Linked DNA regions of Mus musculus. The protein of the gene in region 2 binds, or shares a complex with, the protein of the main gene of each other region. Links are inferred from orthologs where the notes say so. Each region holds a gene or a part of one and is shown on either strand. Other genes may lie near its edges. The genes, in order: Rab25 and Rab11fip2.

The links.
Region 1: the proteins of Rab11fip2 (region 2) and Rab25 are in contact, whole or in part, in a crystal structure (PDB 3TSO), measured with the Homo sapiens proteins. The link is inferred for Mus musculus from reciprocal best matches to the Homo sapiens genes RAB11FIP2 and RAB25. Residues at the interface, in NP_055719.1 of Homo sapiens: Arg475, Glu478, Ile481, Asp482, Asn483, Leu485, Val486, Met489, Pro493, Ser494, Leu496, Arg497, Val498, Pro499; in NP_065120.2 of Homo sapiens: Arg34, Ile45, Gly46, Val47, Glu48, Phe49, Ser50, Thr51, Lys62, Trp66, Arg73, Arg75, Ala76, Ile77, Ala80, Tyr81.

Annotation. Positions count from the first base shown.
Region 1 is NC_000069.6:88,545,270-88,549,840, forward strand, and holds the start of Rab25 (ras-related protein Rab-25), read right to left. Parts: upstream 3,011-4,571; 5' UTR 2,807-3,010; coding exon 2,764-2,806; intron 1-2,763. UniProt on the Homo sapiens protein: The small GTPases Rab are key regulators of intracellular membrane trafficking, from the formation of transport vesicles to their fusion with membranes.
Region 2 is NC_000085.6:59,933,092-59,936,904, forward strand, and holds part of Rab11fip2 (rab11 family-interacting protein 2), read right to left. Parts: intron 2,984-3,813; coding exon 2,515-2,983; intron 1-2,514. UniProt on the Homo sapiens protein: A Rab11 effector binding preferentially phosphatidylinositol 3,4,5-trisphosphate (PtdInsP3) and phosphatidic acid (PA) and acting in the regulation of the transport of vesicles from the endosomal recycling compartment (ERC) to the plasma membrane.

The DNA.
Region 1 (4,571 bases), on a different chromosome or scaffold from region 2:
GAGAGGAGGGCTGAGCCAGGACAGAGCAGCTCTGAGCCTACCTGAGCTCGACAGTCTGTCCCACCAGAAAGAGGAACTGAGATCAGAAAAGCAAGAAAAGAGTTGTCTCTTCTGGCAGAGACACTGAGGGGATTGGCCACAGTACATAGGACATCTGTCTAGGGCCGGGGAACAGAAGGGCCAGCAGTGTTCGAGACAGGGGCTGCTGAGGCAGCAGGGTACCGCAGTTAAGAGCAACAGCTGTGGGCTGCTGGCAGAGGACATGTGGAAAGGTTACTGAGACAGGTCACGTGAGAAAGGATAAAAGCACGGAAGGCCTGGAGTGCACATTTCTGGACTAGGGAGTATGGGAAGGATGCAGATGTCTGTAAGTGAATTGGAAGGATGAGGAAGAAGGGCTTGGGTATTTGGTGTGTTTCCATGGAAGACTGAGGTTAAGGTTGGCTGGTGACACTTCTGTGGGTGAGAGGCAGGTGCTGGAGTGCACCTTTTTGCATGCATGTGTGTTACTGCCTCTCCTTTGTGAGGAGAAGCATTCCCATTCATCCATCCGCTACCCTGTCCTCAGGCAAGGTTTTAATGCTAGGCAGGTAGCTGTCCCTACTGGCTTTGAGGCCTTTTAATTTTGTTTTAAGATTTATCTATTTTATGTAAGTGAGCATGTGGCTTCTACATGTGTTTGTATACCACATGCATGCCTGGTGGAGTGTCAGGTCACCTGGAACTGGAGTTAAAGATGAGTGTAACCACCATGTGGGTACTTACCCACAGAGCCACCTCTCCAGCCCCTTTAGTGACTTCTTTTTGGCAAACAACTTAAGTCTCTCTCTACATCTTAGTGTCCTCCTCTGTAAAATGCCAGTGGCTAACATTTACAGAGTGTTTCCATCACATCAGCCATTATCCAAAAAACTTTATGTAACCCCACAACAATGCCTGAGGTAAATGCCTTTATTGTTCCCATTTTTGTTTATATTATTATTATTAGACTTTTAAAAAGATTTATTTATTATTATATTATATGTAAGTACACTGTAGTTATCTTCAAACACACCAGAAGAGGGTACCATATCTCATTACAGATGGTTGTGAGCCACCATGTGGTTGCTGGGATTTGAACTCAGGACCTTTGGATGGAAGAGCAGTCAGTGCTCTTAACCACTGAGCCATCTCTTCAGCCCATATTATTATTATTATTATTATTATTATTATTTTGTTTTTTCAAGACAGGGTTTCTCTGTATAGTCCTGGCTGTCCCGGGACTCAGTCTGTAGACCAGGCTGGCCTCGAACTCAGAGATCCACCTGCTTCTGCCTCGTCAGTGCTGGGATTAAAGGCCTGCACTACCACCGCCCAGCCACCATGCCCATTTTTATAGACAAGGAAGGCACCCAGCTAGTAGGTCTATCACACTGCTCTAAACATAGATGTGCTGCTCACCTCTACCTTCGGGGAAGGATCTGCCCCGCCCCCTCATTGCAGGGAGGAAAGCAGTAGCAGTGACAGCTCACAGGTGAGCCCTCACGGACATGGGGATGTCAAACCTCTCTGGACAGCTCCATGTGGTACCCCAGGGACAGTGTTCCAAGGCTACTCCAAAGCTCCCTGTTCCCTGAGTAGCTCTGAGCTCTCTCTCATGGCAGGCAGGTGACTATCCTCTGCCTAGTCCTGCTTCCTCCTGCTTATCTTCACATGTGGTGGCTTATAATCATTACAGAATACCCGACACTTCTCAGAAGTGGCACTGGGACCCCATCTGAGCTAACTGGTAAGTGGCAGAGAGGCCATGCAACCACTCACGGTGATAGCTCACACCAGGGCTGTAAGATGAGTGTGTGAGAGTGGCACCCAGTAGGGCCTCAACAAACGGGAGTTACTATACCATGGCCACAGCCCCACCAGATTCCTTGGGAAAATGCCAGGAGTACAGGCTCCCCAGCTTGGGCCAGGGTGGGGCTGAGGTTGGGAGAGGCTGTGGGTGTGGTGCAAAGGAAAGGAGAGTGCCACCAGGCCACCTAGCCTTCAAGAAGGAGAGCTAGAGACCCACAGAGAGACCAAACACCAGGAGCTGAGGGAAAGCAAGCAGGCAGGATGCATGTGCACTGTCAGAAACAGCCCAGCAAACCCTGTGCCTAGTATCTGGGTCCAAAGATTGTGTGGTACAAGAGGCCATGCATGGCACAGGCTGCAGCCCAGGAGTCCTGTGGAATCCATTAGATGGCTGGAGAGTCAATGCATTGTCCGGGTGTATCAACTACCTAAGTATCAACTTCCCTATGTGTCAACTACCTAGATCAACAATGACTGCGGGGGGGGGGGGGTGGGGGGTGGGGGGTGGGGGGGGGGGCGCACCCCTTCCTACGCATCTGCTGGTAGAGATGACTTTCTTCCTCTTAAATAGGCTTGCTTCTCCCTCTACTCTGAAAGTCCTTTCTGAAGTCCGACTTCCATCTCTTGGGCTTCACTGACATTCCCAGGGATTTGAGCATCTATTAGAGACTGGGCAGGGAAGAATAATTTGGCAATAGGGAGAAATTATCCACATCTTTATAGAGAGCATACAACTCCAGAACATCTGTACCTGTAACCAGACATGCCTACTCCTCATGGCCTTTCTCTCGGAGAAGGAATGCTGAGCTTGGGGACGGGTGGGGGGAGAATGTCCAAGGTAGAGATAAAAATAAAAGGGAGACCCTGTGTCCTCTGGAAATAGCCTCTCTCCCACCCTCTCTGGAGTCTCCCTTTTCGAGAACCCCAACTTACCCTTAAAGACAAAGTTATAATCTTCATCTGTTCGATTCCCCATCTTGGCTCAGCATGGAGAGTGAAGACGTTTGCAGGTGCAGAGGTCACGAGTCTGTTTATTGTTTAAATGGCCTCAACTCTCAGCTTTTAAGAGACCTGCACCTGGCTCCTCTCTCATTGGGGGAAAAGGACAAGAGGGCTCAGTTGAGGCCAGGAAGAGCCCCAGAGGCTCAGCTCTGGCACGTTTAGCTACTCTGTGGGAGCTGAGAGGACGGAAGCTGAGAACAGGAAGAGCTAGCCAGCTCCGCTGGGCACCTGGGGCACAGGTGGGTGGAGCGATGATGACGTCAGACAGGTTAAACAGGTTAGGTGTCTGCTCTTGGCCCACACTCCCCCAAATAAGAGGGCCTGGTCACAGAGGTAACAGTGGGTGAGGCTGCGGCGAGCCCGAGTGTACATTGCTGGGTTTTGGGGGTTCTAAGAAGGAGAGCTGCCACTGGGCTGAAGTAGACACGGGGTGGGGCAGAAACGTACCGGCCTCCAGCTTTCCCATCTCAGGTTTTGGTAAGGACACATACCGGGGGGCATCAGGGGAAGGGCTATCAGGGCAAGAAATGCAAGCTGGGCACAGCATCTCCCCACAATGCAGAGTTTTGGGAGCTGTACCAGCACGCAGCATCCGGCCCCTCCTTAACAGCCCCAGGCCAGGGAGGGGCAGCATTTCTCACACAGGTGGAGCTGGGACGCCACCTGCCCAGATGGGTCCCTTCCTAACATACAATAAACAGATTTACTACCTTCGTGGACGGATCTCAGAGACAAGGGCAGAAAGAGCTGGATGCGGTGAATATGGGTGCAGGATCTGAGATGAAGACCTTGAGGCCTTCTGGGGGTCAATCTTCTGACTGCCATGCTTGTATGTGGGACACACCTATCCACGCGTCATGTACGCAAACAGTAAATAAGTAAAGGCAATGCAGAGGAGTCTGCTGTGCTCACACACGATTTTTTTTTTTTTAAATTAAAACAAATGCTGCAGAGAGGATCATGAAAAGGTAGGGAAAGGAGCAGGAGCACTCCTTAAATTAGAAAGGGTGACCTCTATTTTCTGTGTCCAGCAAGAACAGGCATTTGCTCCTTTAGATCAGTCCCAGGTGCTGCAAAACGGGCGGGTGAGATTCTGCTCTGAGGGTTGAGTGAGCTCAGCAGCTAAGGGCACCGCTGCTCTTGCAGAAGACCCTGGTTAGGTTCTCAGCATAGCTCTCTCACAGCCACCTGCTAACTCTGGTTTCAGGGATATCTGATGCCCTTTACAGGCACAAGTGCAGACACACAAACAGTCAAAACACTCATGTACATAAAATAACCTAAACAATTTTTTCACACGGGTGTAGTGGCACATACCTTTAATCCCAGCACTTGGGAGGCAGAGGCAGACGGATTTCTGAGTTGGAGGCCAGCCTGGTCTACAAAGTGAATTCCAGGACAGCCAGGGTTATACAGAGAAATCCTGTCTCACAAAAACCAAAAAACAAATTGTTTAAAGAAAAGCAATTCTGGGAGGATGGGAAGGGAGCTTTTTGCAATGTAAATAGAATAAACATATAAATTAATGGAAAAAAAAAGCAATTAGGAGTATGATGAGACACAGCACTGGAGAAGCCAAGGGCACTGGGCAGCCCTGCCAAGAACCACTGAGAGATTTGGTGATGGGGAATGAGAGAGCCCACCTTTGCAGGAGAGGGGAATCCTCCCGAGGAAACCACTCCACACTTTCCTCCCAAGAAAGCAGGTGAGACACAGGTAAGAGTTGAAAATTTATTCAG
Region 2 (3,813 bases):
AGCAGGAAGAATACTGTTAGAGTGAACCTCAGAGAGGAGCCATGCATCCTGCTGATGCAGGCAGCCTGACTAATTTCCTCATCAGTTTCCCACAAGACTATAGGAATGACTCCAAGATGCAAAATAAAGTGTATTTTGTAGTTTCCAATGTGCCTTTTCCTTGGGCAGATGTTACATATACAAACACTAAAAACTTTAACTTCTAAAAATTATGTTCTTAGTGACAGAAAATAGAGGAATATAAAGAAAATTCTCCAGTTCTAGTGGCATGCTTAGTTACTTAGAGGACAGACATGGTTCCTGTGCTCCTGCAATCACAGGCGTGTCAGTTCACACACCAGCTTCTTGGCAATGGACTGTGCTTTAAGTTGACACAGTAGTCTCAAAACCATGGGTCACAAGAGTTCAGGAGCTCTCTAAGTAGGTTTTACTTAACATACTGGGAAAAAATTCTGTTCTACGCCTTAACTGGAGACACCCATTAACTACAAATGTTCTAGTTTACCAGAAAGATGACTTGTGACAGAAACTTCCAGGAATGCACTTTCTGTCCCCATACCTGGAGCTTCATAAATACAAAGAAAAAGTCTTAAGTTCTAAAAGAATTTTTTTCTTATATACTTGTAACCATAGGATTTATAATACAACCTTGATTTTGATAGTAGTGTTAATATTAAAGTGGAACAAAATGAAGCTGAAATCTAGTGCAGGCCGTCTCCCTGTTAAAGCCACAGAGGCCACAGCTTGAGGACAGTTACTTTTCATATTATTTGTATTGTATTATTTTAAAACTAGTTCCCTTTTTTTTCCTGCTTTTCACTGACTCTAAAATTACCTAGTTTAGCCAATCTCTAAGTTACCTTGAACACTTGTTTTCAGTAATCTCTGCAAAAAAATAAGTGTTCAGAAAGGGAGGGGCACACTCTTATTTAGCTTGTACTTAAGAGTTGATGAAGTAGAGACACATGAAGAAGTATCTCTGTGTCAGGAAAGCACAAAATAAAAATTTATTTCTCTGAAGTATAGTCTATAGATAAAACTGAATGAATTTTTTTTCTAAAACTACAGCAAATTCCCATCTAATAATAAAGAAAACAAACAGAAAATGAGCACTTCCCTCTGGAAATTTTAAGAGCATTTTTTAACATAGCATAGAAGATATACATTCAAGGGTGGGCATTGCATTCATGATGGAGAGGTCTAAGAGAAAAGCGTACCCAAGTGGCTGTTAATGCTCCGTCTTCTGTAAGTACTGGGACAAAACAAAAAGCCCCAATTTTAAAGAAAAGGATATATAAGACATCAATTGGTCACCTGTCCCTTACCCAGTATTTCTGGGACCCAAAGTGGTTCAGTTTGGTTTTAGAATTTTAGAATATCAGCATTGACTTTCCATGTAAAAATTACAAATCTGAAAAATTCCAAATCTGAAGCTCAAGGTTCTACCCACGATGAAAGCGTTAAACTGTCATTCTACTTCTACATAAAAGTGGATCGGGTTCCAAGTGAAGGATACTCAGCCTGAAGCAGTGACCATCTATTCGATCCCCGCTTGGTACCTGGCTTTGTACTGTGTGTTTCATGTGTGTGTTACTTAGCCTCACTACATCCTACAAACTACATATATCCTCTTTGCTTCAGAGATGTAGATGCTGAGGTCTAGAGAGGTCACAGTACTCCACAGTCAGGATTCCCACTCAGGTCTGTATATTACACAGGACACTCAGCCTCTACTGTATTTCTCTACAATTACTTAAAAACTTCATGGTCATCTTCATCTTTGCTTGAGGTTCCTTAAGCAGGTCCTCTATCACTCAGAACTGCAGAACCTCTGACTTTAATGCTGTGAAGTAAGCAGCCATGTACACAGAAGGACCCAAAGCTTTAAAACTCTAACTTTCATCAGCTGATTGTACCCATGGCTACTTGTCACCCAGGGCTCTGGTTAGGGTACAGACAGTACCCCCAAGGGTCCCTGGATTCAAGAAGACATTCATGTATTCATGAATAAAAGATATTTCTGATCAGCCATCTAATAAAGACAGTTAACATCTTTTATGACAACATTAGTACTTCAGCATTTGCTAAATAGCACCATGCTGACTGCTTCTGGCTCACTGGCGCTCTCCTGACAGCCCGTGATTTAATCCCTGGGAAGCACCTAGAAATATACTTCTGGATTGAATTCATGCCCATGGTCTATTCACTTTTACTGGGTCTCATCAAATACCATGCTGTTTTCTCCAAGAACTATGGTAGGTTTCTGGCTCCCATAGGTAGGAGCAGACTGAGGTAGAAAGGAAAAAGTCTTTGCTCTTCCAAGGTAAAACATTCAATTCCAAGGACACATGCAAACAACAATGTTTAGATCTATGATGGATAGTTTTTTTTTTAAAGGTAAAAATAAATAAGTAAATAAAAAGAATATAAAATATTCATGCATCTAAAAGGAATACTTATTATTTTCAAGTACAAGGTCCCCCAAACGGCACATGTTCCTCCTGGTGAGCTTACCTTGAAGATGGCATTATAGTTGAAGCCCTGAATTTTGCTGTAAACGGGTTAGTTGACTCATATTCAAAATAGTCCTGCCGGTTTTCACTAAAAGCACTAGGTGATTTCAAGTCACATGGGCTATCAGATCCACCATTGTTCAGCTTGTCAGGTCTCCTGCTATCTCTCTTGCCAGTCACTCTTTCAAAGAGGCTCACCTTCTCCCTTTTCTCTCTCTTACTTTCTTTCCTGACTTCAATTGGTTTTGAGAATAAATTCATGCTGCTGTCCCATGGCTCACTGCTTTCTTCAAATGGATTCTTCTTCCTTGGCAGTGTTGCAAATTTTTGGGGTAATGAAGCAGTCACATTTGTAAATGGGTCACTCTGTCTTCCAAAAGAGTGTTCACCTTCATCCACAATGCTGCCAGGTTGGTTCAATTTAGAAGTATCAAAGCTTAGTGTTCGTCTGTGTGGAGACTTGAGACTTCCTACAAACATTTTTTCCCATTAGTAGGTGATGGGTGACATATGCTGTTACACTATCTGATACATTCTGCTGCTTCAGAATGAGAGCAATTAACAAGATATCAACCCTCAAAATAATCAAAACAATCTTAAAATTAGGTAAGGGGTATTATAAGTAGATGTGCTATGATACTATATTTTTAGACAATTATATTACTATCTTCTTTGGCTCAGAACCGATCACATGAGAAAAGTGTAAAATCCATCCAAAGGGCCTGCTCTCACAATCATACTGAAAAGTCTTAAACTTTTCCACCATTAGAATCCAATTTTGTTTCCTCTGAATATAGAAATTTTTCTAGAAACACTTGTATGGAATGGAATATATGCTACAGGCTCTTTTTCCTCTTTGGTGTGTCCATGGATATGCGTGGAGGCCAGAGGTCAACCAACACTGTCATTCCTCAAGAACTACCCATCTTGGTTTTGAGACAAAATCTCTTACTGGTATGGAATTTCCCAAGTGGTCTTGGCTGACTGGCCAGGGAGCCCCGGACATGCACCTGTCTCTACCTCCTCCATTCCTGCCTTACTGTCTCAGTGTGCATTTGGGTGTCTAAGGAACTCCTCAGATCCTCATGCTTTCAAGGCAAGCACTTTGCCAAACATTTCCCGCTGCAAGCTTTTGAAATGGAGAAATGATAACAGAAAAAAGAGGCCAGGCCACAAAAGAAGGCTAGGATTCATTTCTCTACCACATACAACAAAAATATAGATACAAGCAAGCATGTCTCCGGTGAATCTATCAATTAGGTGTTGGGAGGTACTCAAACAATCAATGACTGGCTTTAGA